3 linked regions of the Schizosaccharomyces pombe genome follow. The main gene of each other region encodes a partner of the protein of the gene in region 2 in a complex. Each region holds a gene or a part of one and is shown on either strand. Other genes may lie near its edges.

Region 1 (4,551 bases), 1.7 Mb from region 2:
TCGATCTTCAATTAGGGCGGTGAGAGGCAAATAGTCAAAAAGATCTGTAAAGTACTGCCAAACATTCGCATTTCCATACTTTCTAAGGCATTCATCATAAAATCCATAAACTTGTGTAATTTGCCTAGATTCATGGTTTCCACGTAATATTGTTATACGCTGGGGATATCGAATTTTAAAAGCAATCAGTAGAGAAACTGTTTCTACACTGTGATATCCTCTGTCAACATAATCTCCCATAAACAAATAATTTGTATCAGGTGAAGGGCCGCCAATATTGAACAACTCCATTAAGTCATGGAATTGTCCATGAATATCACCACAAACCGTTACAGGGCATCGGACGCTTTGAACGTTTGATTCTACAGAAAGTACCTCTTTTGCGAGATCACACATTTGAATGACATCTTCCTCTGAAAGAGGTTCGCATCGACTCAACTGTTCAATCCAACGATCGACCTCTCCAATTTTTCCAGAGACAGACATCTTGTTGAAAAAAACTTAAAGCAATAGTTAATAAACGACTAAATTTTTAATTAAAAAGAAAAGCATCCACAGAAAAATCCATAAGGGCTTTTCCGTTTGTATGCTATCCTGCGTTGAGCATGCGTTTTTCAACTTCCCACTTACGAATTCACTGGATGACGGGGGTATTGTAAGCTTATTCACTTTCTTGACAAAATAATGGTGTCTGAGGTACGTTTACTGTACATATACTGTATTTTATTATTTATTCGTTCGTATGTGGGAAAGAGAAATATTATGTTTTACAGACACGGTGGGGAGTTAGGTGAAGAAAGAAAATGATGCGAGTACGGGAAAATTTGTATGAAGGTTGAAAGGTATGGTAGTAGACAGGATACATAAAGTCACAATATTTCATGTTTTAAATTTTATTTCAATTTATTAATAACCAAAATATTACAGACATGGATTTCGTAATAGCAATTTTTTCTGCAAGCCCCTTAAAACATCATTACAAGTTTCCTGACTTTGAGTAACTTTACCAAACCAAAATATAACAATATGCGTGATCTACATTATGTTATACTCGCTACCTTATTTCGGCGATCTCACGACCAAAAGACGCAAAATTTAATATCTCTTTATTTTCTTTCTTAAAAAAAATAAAGAGATATTGTAGCAATGCGACCACTTACGGACTGATATGATATAGGATTTTTCATACAAGACTCGCAAATGGATGAGTATATAAATACAAATTATGTTAAATCATTGCTTCTAACAACCCAAACTAATCGAACCGTTGGTGAATGATGCATTTAAATTGCTATGAGGACCTGCTTGAAACTAAGTTTCGAGGCGCTGATAACAAATATCTATCAACTTTAGGTATAAAAATGTTGAAGTACGAAAACTTCTTAGGTATTATTCAGATTTAACTGCTAAAGAATAATTTTTGCAAATCTTTATGGATATCAGCAAAGGTTTCGAATTCAGAGAAAGAAATTTTCTCCCTTTCACAATATTTAATTAAATCACGTCCTTTCTTGGCAAACAAGTGTTCTGTTTCCTTCGCAGCACTCAAATCGGAAACACCATCTCCGCAATAGACCATGTGAGGACGTTTACTTTCTGGCAATTGAGCATACGGACGGATAGTAAGGCTTTTGTCGTGTCCAAAATGACTGTCATCATGATACACAATGTTCCATTGACCATCAGGATGCACATTGATGTCATTAGAAACAATTTCAATACTACTTGCTTCTTCTTTGCCAAGGTATTGCTCAAAAAGTGCACGAATAAAAGGCTCCATACCACTTGAAAGGATGATTACACGAATGTCTTGAGACTTACACCATTCATAGAATGGTTTAAATGATGGATCAATGGCGACATTCTTCTTGAGAACCTCCAAAGCTTCATCATAGCTTAAATGCACTGAATCCAACATCTTCGCGAAAGCATCACTATGAATTGTTAAGAGTTGATTTACGCGTCAAACGCTTACCGAAAAGAAATGGAACCGTCAAGAACTTGTTGATTTAGATTCACACGGTTGGCGTTGCCCATTCCAAAGTTGTCTAAAACATAGTTAGTAAACCGTCGCCGTCGAGTGTTGCAGTAATAAAGCATTCAAGGTGGGCAGGGAAATTTTTGACCCAATGTTATAAAATCATAGATTTCTCTTACAGATTTTCGTAAATCTTCAATAAATATTCAGTTAAGCTTAATTGTAAGAACATTTTCTAACTACCTTTATACATCTTTTTATATCTGTAACAATCTTCCTATTCCCAACCTTACCAGTTAAGTAGTCATTGGAATCCTGGAGTGTAATAGTTCCTAGACCCCAAAAGTTAGTTGTCTGTTTTTATTGAAATTATTTTTTCATACCGTCAAAGTCACTGAATACGTATAACTGCTTTTTCTGAGCCATAGTCCAAATCTTTTTGAATTGCTGAAATTGCTTGCTTTGTACAGCTATCCAACTCTAGGATTTAAAGTAACGAAACTTACCAGCACTGATATAAAGTTTGTTGTTTATTCCGTGATTAGCAAGCAGTCGTTTGTTCGAGTCATGATAAATGTCATATTTTATCTTTTATATGCAAAAAAATGAAATTCTTAAAGTAATTTACAGTCTTCTTTATTTTAAAGGGCTGCAGATTAAAAATCGAAATTAGTGTAGAGGTTGAATTAACTTAAAGCATATATTTATCAAAGAAAAGAAATGATATTCTATATTTCTGCAAGGGGTAAACGATATCCTCAGTACGTTTTACCATAAATCCTAAGAAAAGTGGCCCAAGCCTTGTAAAGTGAAGTGTAATTTTTTTTTTTTTTGTTTTTTCTTTTTAAATTTCAAATGCTTTTTACATCTACAACATTCTCTCAAGCGTGAGTTTCGCTTATCCTAATGTTAGCTACGCAGTTTCGTATTCGTTTTAATGATACGTAGAACTGCGGTGAGTTTTCCTTGTGACCTATAATATCGCAATACACAGATAATATAAGTAGCAACTGAGTGTAGGTATTGTATTAACAAGGTTATAATGTTACCTATCACTGGTATAGCTTGTAACTGAACTGAGGAACGAGGTTTAGCAGTAGCTCTATTTATAGTATTCAGATGATATAAATATTAATAGATTATCATTAAGATCAGTCTCAATATCGTATCATACATAGTACGATATTTAATTAGGACATGTGACATATAGTGATACGCAACGTAAGTATTATAGCGTATTATAGTATTGCTGATACCTAACTATAAATAGCATATTCTAAGCTGTTTATGAATATTTCCGTAAACCAGCTTTATGGCTGGTGCAGCAGTACATTATGTTTAACTCACTATATGAAGACATGAAAGGATATAACAGTAATGTATAAGTATTAAGAAAGTATGTTGCAACGACTTTCTCAGTCTATTAAGGGATTTGCTGCTCGCTTTCCCAAAATCTATAATAAAGGAAATGGATCAGTTCAACAGACTATACTCCAAGCGAGTCAACGCTTGAATGAATTAACTGGTTATTCCTCCATTGAGGCATTAAAGAACGCGGTTGTAAAGCAGGAGACAAAGCTCCGTGATTTTAGATTATCTGCAGCTGAAGCAAGAAAGCGTTATATTGAAGCGGTTGAAAAAAGATCGTCAAGTCAACGTGAAGTCAACGAATTGTTACAACGACGTAGTAGCTGGTCTACTATTGATTTAGAAAGATTTACTAAACTATACCGTGATGATTATTCAAACAAAGAAGAAGAAATTAAGGCTCAAGAAGATGTGGATGTAGCGGAAAGGCGGGTAGAGGAAGCTCAAAATGGATTGGTGCGTTCGATTTTATCGAGATACCACGAAGAACAAGTTTGGAGTGATAAAATCCGGCAAGCAAGTACCTGGGGTACATGGGGATTAATGGGAATTAACGTTGTTCTTTTTGTGGTCGTTCAACTAATATTGGAACCAAGGAAAAGGAAACGGTTGGTTCGTGAAGCTGTGGATCACATTGACAAGGAACGAGAACTTGAAATAAATGATGAACTGAAAAAGATTTCCGAGAAACTTGATAAAAAAGGTGAAGCTGTCGGCCAAGCATTAGAGCTTACTTCTCCGAAAATTGACAATAAAAACCTTCCCAAAAATTCTGCGTCCTTAATTCTTCCTCCTATTAATTACGATACGTTTCACTCTTTTTTGGATTCGCTAAAATATTTCCTATCTCGCTTTTTGTCTACAGACTACCGCATTCAATTGACTTATCGTCAACTGTCTATTCTGGCGACCAAATTTACGGTAGGCGGTGGAGTTATTATTTACACCTTTATTCACTTGTTTGGTTTAGCATTCAAGCGTTGAATTATTTACATTAACAATCGTTAATTACAAGATTTTATGGTAAAGGTTTTATAGATTACAAGTTTTAAAAAGAGCAGATATTTGCGTTATGAGCAAAGCAGATGTATATCTTCATTTATTCAAACTAAGAAACCTTATCAGAGAATCCAAGTGTAACTACCTAATTCCATTTTGCCAAAAAAAATATTAATGAAATATTCTTAATCATAATTTTGACTTGA
Region 2 (4,815 bases):
ATACTTGCTACAGCGACTGCTAAGAGGATCAATAATCCTGGTCATGTAGTTACAGATCAGGCAAAACCTAGTGATCCTGGCATACGACTCCATAGTTCGTCGAAGAGCAGCCTGAGCATCCTGAGTCATAGAATCTGCCTCATCCAAAATTATAATTTTAAAAGGAGGACAAGGATAACCGTCGACTTTGTTGGTTACGGTTGTTTTTGCAAAAGACTTGACTTTCTCCCGAATAATAGAGATACCGCGTTCATCAGAAGCATTCAATTCCAAAACCCTTGATTTCATCAATTGCGGTCCAAATAGCTCACGAGACAAAGCTAGAATGGTTGACGTCTTTCCAGTACCAGGAGAGCCATAAAACAACATGTGAGGTAAGTTATTAGATAAAAGTGTTTTTTTTAATACTTGTACAGTAGATTCTTGAGAGGAAACTTGGTCCAATGTCTTGGGACGACTACATACGTGTTAATGTTATTGTTCTTAAAAAGTATTCTCTATTTACATACTAAAGCTCAACCCAAGGTATTGATTTCTTTGCTTCCTGCTCCGTTTTCTTATTCCTTGGAGCAAAGAAAGACATTTTTTTTAAATTAGTATACACGAGATATCGCAAGTAAAAAAAAAAAACACTGACGGTACCTACTACGAAATGGTAGTAAGCAATGCTTGTTCTTGCTTACATACTAGGATAACGTATTGTAACGATTTGTACCATAAACACATTGAGTCGCGCTAATAATGCGTTCTATATTAATGAAAATGTTGGAAGCAAATATTATCGTAACATTAAATGTAAACAAGATTAGTTATGTAATTCGATAACAAAAGCATATGAATGTATGATCAAAAGTTAGGTAGTGATGACAGATGGTCTGGCAGCTTCTGTGTTCACTTGAGCATTCTTTCCAATGGGCGCTGTAGATACATTACTTGTCATGGTTTTGGGCTGAACGAATGCTTGGAATTGAAGGAGAAGAGTCGAAAATCGTGAAGAAAAGTCATATTTTTCATCCAACGGTATGTCGCTTAATTTAACAAGCAAAGTAAAAAGTGAATACAACTTGGTTGATTCTAATAGTTCAGAATTTATTGCGCTGAAATTCTCAATCATCTCCAATATTTGGTGCACATGAGACATATCCGATTCTTGAGGATAATGATTATATGACAGTAGGATTTCTTGTAGTTGGTAGCGGTAATATAAAAGAGTATTAAATCGAATATAATGAACTTGAGCATACATATCTACAGTACTTATAGGCTGAGCCAATTGATATTCAAGTGAAAATTTTGGTAATTCCTCTAAAGAACCGGCAAACCTTACTCTTTTTTTGGCTGTTTTCTTGGGAGAAGGAATTGGAGATGGGGATTTCTGAGCGTTGTCTGTAGCCATCCTAACTCGAGCTGACCTACGTGAAGGTCGTTGCTTCGATGTTTGAGAAATTTCTGCCGACGATTTCTCATTTTTTAACCTTTTACCCCCGTCAATTTTAGGTGTGGCTTCTATCTTTTCCTTTTTTGGTTTCTCGATGGGCTTTTGAAGTTTTTTACGAGTATTCTCTGGTTCAAACTCATCCTCTTCGACATCAGAAAAAGAAACTTTTCTCTTTACGGAAGCAATGATGAGACCTACCGTCTTTTGGATATACTTTGTCGATAAATCATGGTCCAAAATAAACCTTGATTCATCAACAGTTAAGGGCAAAACATTTGAAGAAGAAATAATAGCGTAATCTCTTGAAGGAAGAAACTGAACAAATATTCCATTGTCCATTCGAAAATTTCGTTTCAATCGTTCGCGTACCTCAGTGGGTATTGATTTTTGGCTCGCTACTCTGGCTGGCCACCATGGGAAGCTACTCATCTTTGCTAAAACATATTCCCCATTTTTATATGATTTCCTTGGTGACGTCCTCGGAACATACGCTAATTGTTTACCTTTCTTTTTAACATCACGCAGATTTTTCGTATTAGAAGTCTGTTGCCCGGTGGCCTTTTTTTTTGTTTTAATCTTCTTCTGGTTATTAATCTCTTCAAGCTTTCTTTTTTGACTGCGTGTCCTAGCAACCATCATCGTTAATTACATTCCTTATAAGCCAAACTTCACATTAAAGCGATATAGTGCTGAATTTTTCCAAAGAGATTTTACATCAATTTGTAAAGGTTCCACCAAATATTAGGATATACAAGTAGAAACCGTAAGACGCTTGTCTATTATCAATTAATTGCAGCAACGCTTACAAGATCTACAATAGCAGAGGGGGGGGGTGCTAAAAGCTTGAGCTGTTGCAATATGATACCTCGATATTTCAATATCATTCCTCATACTAATTTTTTCGATAGTATATATTTCTTTCGCAAATAAATCTTAATAAAGAGGGTTAAACTAAATAAGACACGTTAATCTTATCGTTATTCTACAAAACGAGTTACTGTATTGTACTTTAAAATATTGATAACGAAGCTTAGAATGCTTTGAGTATATTTAAATGAGTATAAGACGCGCAACATGAAAGCATTTCTTCGCCATCAACATGTCAACTGGTACGTATCCTTATAAAATGTTCAAAATGGATGTTACTAACCTAAATAAAGTAGAAGATGTGGAAATAGAAAGGCTTCGTGCTGAAAGAGAACTTTTGCGAAGACAAAAAGAGGCAGCGAAGAATTCGTCGACAAATGGAAGTGTAAATATTGAAGGTACCCAGGATTCTAATGATTTACAATATAATGCTCATCTTTTTAAGTCCAGTAACCCAAAAGAAGAATATGACTCCGCAATTGACGTGCGCAATGATATCTCTCAGGATGAAGACGATTATAAACGTACAAACGATGTTAATGATAGTTATCGTTTAGTGCGTCAATATGAAGCACCTAAGGAACTACTAAATGAATACGCTGATGAAAGTTATGACCCTATGCAAGAGAGACAGTCAAAAAAGCAAATTCAGGATCGCGAGTCAGATTATCAAAAGCAGCGTTATGATAGACAGCTTACTCCAACCCGCGTAGATGCTTTTCAACCTGATGGGACACAGAGCAATGGAAGATCTTATGCGGAGGTTATGCGGCAGGTTGAATTAGAAAAGGAAGAGCGACGAGTTCATATGGAATTAAATCAAAGACGTCGTGAAGGAACACTAAAAGAGGTGGAGGAGGAGGAAAGCATATCGGACAAAAAAAGAGAACTAGAGCTTAATAATACGGAAATATCTCAGAAGCCTAAACGCTCTCGTTGGGATCAGGCTCCACCTAGCGTTACGCAGGTTTCCACTACTAAGCGTAGATCACGTTGGGACAAAGCTCCTGAAAACTTCACTATATCTGAACATGTTATAGAAAACGGAATTTCTGAAGATCTTATTAATAAGGAAGTAAATGTAGTAGAAGAAAAATTACGACCTCCTGTCCGTTTATTAACTGAAGAAGAGTTAAATGAGCTTTTGCCGTCAGAAGGCTATGCTATTTTGGAGCCTCCTCCTGGATATTTAGAATCAATTCATCCTGAACTACTTCAAAAAGGTACTACGCTCGATACATATCACGTTCCACAAGAGCAAGAGCTTCCTTTAGAAAAAGAATTACCAGCTGCATTGCCTACAGAAATACCCGGTGTAGGTGATTTAGCTTTTTTTAAGCAAGAAGATGTTAAATATTTTGGCAAGTTACTCAAGGTGGAGGACGAGGCCAAGCTTACAATTGCGGAACTTCGTGAACGTAAAATTTTGAGATTACTTCTGAAAGTAAAAAATGGTACTCCTCCCATGCGTAAGAGTGCATTACGCCAGCTTACGGATCAAGCTCGCGACTTTGGTGCAGCTGCTTTATTTAATCAGATTCTTCCGTTGTTAATGGAACGAACACTGGAAGATCAGGAGCGCCATCTTTTAGTTAAGGTTATTGATCGTATATTATACAAATTGGATGATCTGGTTCGCCCTTTTACTCATAAAATTCTCGTAGTTATTGAACCCCTTCTTATTGATGAAGATTACTATGCACGTGCTGAAGGTCGGGAAATCATTAGTAACTTAGCTAAAGCTTCCGGCTTGGCTCATATGATTGCTACAATGAGACCTGACATTGATCATGTCGACGAATATGTCCGAAACACCACAGCCCGTGCCTTTTCGGTTGTTGCCTCTGCACTAGGCGTGCCGGCTCTTTTACCTTTTTTAAAAGCTGTTTGTAGAAGTAAGAAATCATGGCAAGCCAGGCATACTGGCGTTCGGATTATTCAACAGATTGCTCTGTTATTAGGATGCTCTATTTTACCACACTTAAAAAATTTAGTTGATTGTATTGGTCACGGCCTTGAAGATGAACAACAAAAAGTACGAATTATGACAGCTTTGTCCTTATCGGCTTTAGCTGAAGCTGCTACTCCTTACGGTATTGAAGCTTTTGACAGCGTTTTAAAGCCATTATGGTCAGGAGTCCAAAGGCATCGTGGTAAAAGCTTAGCCGCCTTTTTAAAAGCAACCGGTTTTATTATCCCTCTTATGGAACCTGAGTATGCAAGTCATTTTACACGGCGTATCATGAAAATTCTTCTACGTGAATTTAATTCACCAGACGAAGAAATGAAAAAGATAGTTCTCAAAGTTGTATCACAATGTGCATCTACTGATGGAGTAACACCTGAGTATTTGAGAACTGATGTGTTGCCTGAATTTTTTCACTGTTTTTGGTCCCGAAGGATGGCATCAGATCGTCGCAGCTACAAGCAAGTTGTTGAAACTACAGTTGTTCTTGCTCAACAAGTAGGTTCCCGTCAAATTGTTGAAAGGGTCGTCAACAACTTTAAAG
Region 3 (6,614 bases), 2.0 Mb from region 2:
GAAAAAATAAAAAAAATAAATAAAAATTATTGAAAATGCCAGTAATAGCAGACGACAAACTTGGACTAGACAAGAATTGTCAATTGGAGGGGGGGTAAAAACTAAAACTTTTAAGAGATTGATTTGAAGCCAACACTTCTGAGAGAGTAATTAAAAAAAGAAGAAAATTCTGATTTTATAGAGATAAAAACAATGCTACAGTAATACCATCCAGCTGCTGTACAAGTTATGCAAATTGAAGAAGTATTTGGGCTTGGTTGCGGAAAGTTTAGCCTTCCCAACAAAAAAAGCCACCAAGTCACATGTACCCTATTTGCGATTGAGCGCATTGACATTTTGTAAACTGTATGGCAAATACGTAAAGAAACAATACACCCAATTTGATTTCATTTATTTCTTTACATATTTTGGACTCAAAAAAAAAGTAAATTGTGCTTTGTAAGCTGTTAATTTTAGCAAGGTACCTCTTAAAGTCATTGCTAAAAGGTCCTAGCAAAGATGCTTAGCTTTTAAACATTTTACTCTTCAAGTTATTCATCGCAAAGCCAACGTTAACGGCATCCTGATTTGTCTACTATGAAGTTATATGATAGAAGTTTGCTTATGGAGGAAGCGCGTGGTCCCAATAGCATTATATATATGAGTATGCAAAACAGCTGATTTTTGTGCAAATTCTATCACCATGGATACAGGTCAAGATATTTTTTACGATAACGAAGAAATAAAATACATAGTCTTAATTGTACTGTTCAAATCTACTAGGTTTTAACTTTGGCTGTCGCGAAGTCTTTGGTTCGTTCAATGCTTTGATTATGGGTCTGTAATTGTACCAAACAGTGTAATAAGAATCCCTAGCATGTTACTATAAATATCTAGTATTCGTTGCAAGATGCTCATTGTGTAACACACTTTTATAAGTTCTACAGGATGTGGAAATGAGCGGATAATTATTGTCCTGCGTAGTACTAATACTTAACTATAGCTAACCATTTTAAACGTTGCTGGTTATGCAATTAGAATTACACTATGGCTATCAATGTGTTTCCTGTTTCAATAATTTGGATTTTTTAAGCTCGTCGAATAAACAAAGCTGCCATAAAGTACAGCGAAGTCATCAACAAAAAAGTTATGGATTATTGTACTTTTCATGCACAGCAAAAATATTTAAAGATGTTTAAATATATATAAATATTATGAACGTAGACAATGCTTGCAAGTTTAAATAAACTTTAAAAAATCGACTTCTATAGCATTTGCCTACATATGTCACTTGTTTACGTTTTGACATTTCTCCTTATTAACCCACCATTCCACCACAATTGTAAAAATTATTATCAAATTTATATATTTCTTTACCGCTAGAATTCAATTTTACAAGAAAATTTTATCCCTTGCTTATAAAGACTCTGTGAATTAAAAAAAAGTCTCGTTTCCTTAGAAAATTTGTTTTTCCGTTGAATAAGGCGCTTTCAGTATTACTTGCCATTGGAAAGTGGTAGAATGTTTAATTAATGGTTTTTTTTTTGTTAATATTTATCTATTTAACCCAATTTTTTTCATTTAATACACCACTTCAGACGAATGGCTTCTAACCCTAATGCCGTTGAACAAGAAATTCTACAAGCTGTCAATTCGGCTCAAACTACCGATAAACGGAAAGCTCATGAGCAATCATTAGCATATCTTCCGGTGGAGGAAGAAAGAGGAGTTAATGTTGTTGGCTCAAAGATGAAACCCCGCTACATTGCTTTGACTTGTGATGATGTGACTCGTATTTTTTATATACACAGATTGAAAGTAAATGATAAAGGCGGAATGACAGTCGTGAAATCCTGGCCTTTATTTGAGTTGCAGAATATTACTGTAATTAATGATCATGATGTTACTATGACAATAAACAAGCCACATTTGTTGCGAACTCAGGACACTTCTGCTCGCGATCGATTTGTTTTTTCTGTTGCTAAAAATTATATGTACTATATGGGCAGGCCGCTTTCAGTGACTACGACTGATGGCCGCAAAGTGGACTGGGCCTATCGTAATTCCTTTGCTGATAACAAACCTAATCTCTATCCTGCAAAGAGCCTAGCTATTCCTAAAGCAAGGTCATCATTACCTGAAAATTCTTCAGAACAAGTTTCCTCATCTTTTAACTCTCGAGTCGCACATAACCGTAATTTTTCGGACGGCCCAATTGTTACCAATTTAGAAACGGATCAGCCTCGCATCGAGAAGAAGCTCACTATTGATTCTTCTCGATCAGCCAAAAAGAAGTTGAGTGTTGAAAAAGAAAGACGGTTTTCTGACAATAAGCCTTCTTCCAACGTTTCCCGGGGGACCCCATCATCTGCCCATAGTGATGTTATAGAAATTTCAAGTTCTTCTGCCATTGCAAGGACTTCAGGAGACCGAAAAGATGATGTCTTATTCGATACTTCAACTCAAAGACGAGATAATCAAACACGGGAAATGTTTATTCAAGAACAAGCTCAATTGTTTCCATCTAAACCTTCTTTACGTAAAACTACTCGTCGTGAACAAGCACCCTCATTTAACAGTGGAACGAGTTCTTCGGAAAGGGGTAAGAATAGCATCAGTGGTTCTTACGAGAAAAATACAGCTTTGGCACTAGAAGCTGGTAAGTATAATATGTCTCAAAAAGACGTGAAACTAAGCTCTTCTTTGGAGTCAAACACATTTGCTAGCGATTTTAGTAAAGTGGATCGTGATGCTACCCAGGCAGCTTTATCTTCTAGCTTAGAAACTCCTTCAGTATTAACGTCATCTTACAAGCCTTCCAGTTCGTCTAAAGTATCAGCAAAGTCTGTTTCTCGAAAACCAACAGGAGCACCGGCTATTCCTAAATTACCTCCAAAGCACCCGTCCCGTCAGCCAACTGTTCGGGCAACTCCTTCGACTGGTAAACAAATCGAACCACCAAACGACGAGCCTTCTATAGGAAATGAACTTCTTCCCCTTTTTGAAAGTTTGCGCTTTGAAAATAGAAAAACCACTTCCAAGCCAAAAGCCAAGAAAACTCTTGTTACTTCCATTCCGACTAAACCGCACCAAGCTTCTGTTGAAAAAGTTTACGATCTTAACTCAAAAATCAACCTCAAAAACATTCCGGAGCAAAGCATTTCTCGTCTTTCCACTTTGAAGTGGAATGAAGGTACAACTATAAAAGATGTATTGAAACAAACAGAATTTTCGTTTGATGGAGCTATCATAAGCAGTGTGGAAAACCTTGCTGAAGAAGAAATCGAATTGCAAAACATTAAGAGCCAACTTCAAGATTGTGCTTTAGGTTGTGAGTCTATCAATTCAACCATCAACTTATTTTCCCTAGAGTTGTCTACTGCATTAAATGGCGTCATTAATATAGAGCAACAACCAAGCCGTAGATGATACAAATGCTTCACGACAAATATCGAAAGATTAAAATACTTATTTATTTGAACTAAACGGAATCCAGATGATGAGAGTTATCTAATAGACGCTTTTGAGGTAGAGGAATAAGTATATTTTCTTTAAGTAAAAGGTTAGATATCTGCTCTTCTCCGAGATATGGCGTCCATCTTAGAAGTTTTGGATTTACTCTTTGAGGGTGTTTGATATTCCAAGCTTTATAAACATTCTCAAGTTCATCCCGTTTCAGTTGTAATACATATTTCTTTTTGAGCGGATCATACTTAAATACAGATAACGATTCCAATGTGGATATAACATCGTCGCATACCATAGATGTTGATTTGGCGATAGCATTTATGCTAATCGGTGTTGTGATTTCCAATAGAGCTTTGGCTACTCTCATTTTCCAATAGCTTCGGTACGTAACGAGGCCTAAATCTGAAAGTGGCTTTTCAGGTGATCCAAGCTTACCTTCTACCTGTGTAAGTAAATAACTAAAATCAATCAAAAAGACACCATATCCTCGGCGTTGGTAAATGGGTAATGTTAATATACAGGAAACGTTATAATCAGAAGCCGAGCGTTTCTCTTTACTGAAATATCCAATAACTTTGCATTCTTGGCCATCAAATTCAGTCAATACATAGAAAAGAAACGGTTCAACGTCATAGTACAGCATTTTTGAATGAAGAAACATCTTTGCTAGAAGACATAAATTTTGACAATATATCTAAGGAAAAACATCAATAAGTATAAAATGCATAAAAAATTACTTACCGGTTGCCGTTGACCATCAACTTCAAAAATTGATATATTCTTATCCCGATATATTTCATCTCCTGGTGGATAACTCCATGAGCATTTCATCTGATTATGTTAGTCCGTAAATTCAATTTGGATAGATTATGATCTTTTAATGTACACCTCGTTTAAACTCAAGCAATAGCGAATAACATTATGATCTTACTTGAAAAGTTGTTTACCTTGTGCCTTTGTAGTACATGATCACTGTTCATATACTTTAAACAAGATTCGCATATATATAAATTTTTTGCACAGCTATACTCCTCTGGATACGGTGATGTATACCATGGTTTTATCCGGTAAGTACCAAAATAGAGGTATCGAATGGAGGTTGGTTGTGGTGGAGGCGTTCGCAACTGTGTAGATAAAATAGGATCGGAAAATGAATAAGCCACATCCTTTGTCCTATCTGCTACTGTCTTTGCTTTTTCAAACAGCCTCACATCGTCTTGGTTGAGTCTCGTAATCGATGTGTCAGCTTGCCCTTTAGTTAATAGACCCAAAAAAGTACTTTCCGAATTTAACTCTAATAAATGTTTCTTATAAAATGGATATCTGGAGGAGTTTGTATCAAACTTTATTATTAACAAAGTCTTTGAACTGGCTGTGGATTTCAAAATAGTCGCCGGCATTATACATAAAAAAAAAAGATTGTTTATATTTACAGATCGTTCATAGTTTTCCTAATGGCCCCATTTAATCCTTTGGTCAATATAATTGAGTTGGTGGTAGTGCCCTCATTCTCTTCTTAGTTCTTGCTTTACTTCCACCTCCATCCGATCTCTGCAAAGATAACCCTTTCACTCTTGTTAAATAAAAAACTACTCATATTTTTTACTTTTGTATTCTGAAACAGTAACCATTCATAACTTCACTGTTAGCTTTTTGATTGAATGCCATTACAAACGTTGCGTATAAATACTACAAAGTCACCTTGGGTGATTCAACGATAAGTTTTACATTAGTAGTTTTAATGCCACTTTAATTATTCTCTAATTTCGACTTTATTTTCAAGTAATGTAATGATGATAAATGCAGAAATTTTTTAAATATGAACACGTAGAAAAGTAAAAAAAATATCATGTAAAGGGTGAGTACACTAAATTAAGTGTAAGAATGCAAAGGAAGCAGCATCAGAACTATATGAAATTGTTACCATAATTTTCTAATTTTAAAAAAGCAGAAGCAAAGGACAAGCTAATTCTATTCAGTAGCAAAACTGGAAAATCCTCTGAAACACTCTTGTTGTTGTCGTGTGAGAACAGTATTGACAGGTGTCAAAGTTGGACATGCACCTAATCGATCGTTAGTAATTAACCATATTTTAACAATTGTCATACTTGTAAATTCTTCATCAAAATTATTGAGGTCTCGGGGATCGTTGATAAGCGGTTTATATGATGGTTCATAAAGTTTGTTATACAAGTCATCCCAGACAATACTAGCAAAGAAAGGATGAGCCATAACCTCGTTTGCGTCTTTTGGTCCACTACCAAGTCGTTGATTTGGATCTCTTGTTAAAAGCTATTTTTTGAATTAGTTAACATATTTAGAAATTTGCATACCCCTCTCAATAACGAAACCGCATCCGCTGGCATATTAATCGGAAACAACGGTTCATCGCTTAAAATCGCATCGAATATTTCCTCTTCATCTTCACCTTTGAAAGGGGATTGACCCAGTAACATTTGATACATCAAAACGCCAAAAGCCCACCAATCAACATCCTTGGAATATTGCTGTTCTAATAAAATCTATTTTCGTTAGATAAAATAAACCAAAACAAGTTCCGCCTTACTTCTGGAGCCATGAATTCGGGGGTACCACAAAAGGTGGAAGTTGTATTGCCAAGCAACATATTTTCTTTGCAGAGTCCATAATCAGCAATTCGTATATGACCATCAGGACAAAGTAGAATATTATCCAATTTCAAATCACGGTAAGCAATTCCATTCTCATGAAAATACTTCAATGCTAAACAAACCTCAGCACCATAAAATCTATGGGGTTAATAAAAAATAAAAATAAAAATAAAAATAAAGATTGAAGTACTACCTTGCACGTTTCACGCTAAACTGTTGACGTTGAATATGAACCATAAGGTCACCACCAAGAATATATTCCATAACGAAGTAAACCCTGGTACTAGTTTGAAAGCTTGCAAAAAGATTCAGCAAGAACGGATGTTTTTCTTTATTCGCGACTTCGAAAACATGCTTTTCAGTTTTTAAACTCTCTAGTTCCTCATTCTTTAAAATGGCTTCTTTTTTCAGAACTTTGATGGCATAAAACTTTTTATTCACTTTATATTCAGCCAACATAACCTTGCCAAAATTGCCTTTCCCTAATACAGCCAAAAATGTGAAGTCGTCAAGCGTAACACGATTCTTTTTCTCTCT

What was found.
Region 1: pdp3 (region 2) and ptf1 share a complex: the UniProt entries of both Schizosaccharomyces pombe proteins name them as parts of the mst2 complex.
Region 3: pdp3 (region 2) and mst2 share a complex: the UniProt entries of both Schizosaccharomyces pombe proteins name them as parts of the mst2 complex.

Annotation. Positions count from the first base shown.
Region 1 is NC_003424.3:2,604,038-2,608,588, reverse strand, and holds ptf1 (phosphoric monoester hydrolase), read right to left. Parts: upstream 2,438-4,551; 5' UTR 2,405-2,437; coding exon 2,362-2,404; exon of another isoform or gene 2,311-2,361; coding exon 2,272-2,310; intron 2,216-2,271; exon of another isoform or gene 2,049-2,215; coding exon 1,976-2,048; exon of another isoform or gene 1,935-1,975; coding exon 1,400-1,934; 3' UTR 1,175-1,399; downstream 1-1,174. Other genes in the region: serine/threonine protein phosphatase PP2A catalytic subunit Ppa1, read right to left, coding at 1-486; protein She9, read left to right, coding at 3,377-4,330. UniProt on the Schizosaccharomyces pombe protein: Component of the mst2 complex which is a highly specific H3 lysine 14 (H3K14) acetyltransferase that functions together with gcn5 to regulate global levels of H3K14 acetylation (H3K14ac), critical for DNA damage checkpoint activation.
Region 2 is NC_003424.3:4,334,510-4,339,324, reverse strand, and holds pdp3 (PWWP domain-containing protein), read right to left. Parts: upstream 2,245-4,815; 5' UTR 2,078-2,244; coding exon 854-2,077; downstream 1-853. Other genes in the region: DNA replication factor C complex subunit Rfc2, read right to left, coding at 1-457, 510-583; prp10 (U2 snRNP-associated protein SF3B1), read left to right, coding at 2,538-2,547, 2,599-2,703, 2,770-4,815. UniProt on the Schizosaccharomyces pombe protein: Component of the mst2 complex which is a highly specific H3 lysine 14 (H3K14) acetyltransferase that functions together with gcn5 to regulate global levels of H3K14 acetylation (H3K14ac), critical for DNA damage checkpoint activation.
Region 3 is NC_003424.3:2,361,987-2,368,600, forward strand, and holds mst2 (histone acetyltransferase Mst2), read right to left. Parts: upstream 4,949-6,614; 5' UTR 4,848-4,948; coding exon 4,395-4,847; exon of another isoform or gene 4,279-4,394; coding exon 4,189-4,278; exon of another isoform or gene 4,142-4,188; coding exon 3,461-4,141; 3' UTR 3,409-3,460; coding exon of another isoform or gene 1,582-3,408; 3' UTR 1,513-1,581; downstream 1-1,512. Other genes in the region: exocyst complex subunit Sec3, read left to right, coding at 1,582-3,408; protein kinase C (PKC)-like Pck1, read right to left, coding at 5,419-5,510, 5,556-5,739, 5,781-5,969, 6,014-6,215, 6,271-6,614. UniProt on the Schizosaccharomyces pombe protein: Component of the mst2 complex which is a highly specific H3 lysine 14 (H3K14) acetyltransferase that functions together with gcn5 to regulate global levels of H3K14 acetylation (H3K14ac), critical for DNA damage checkpoint activation.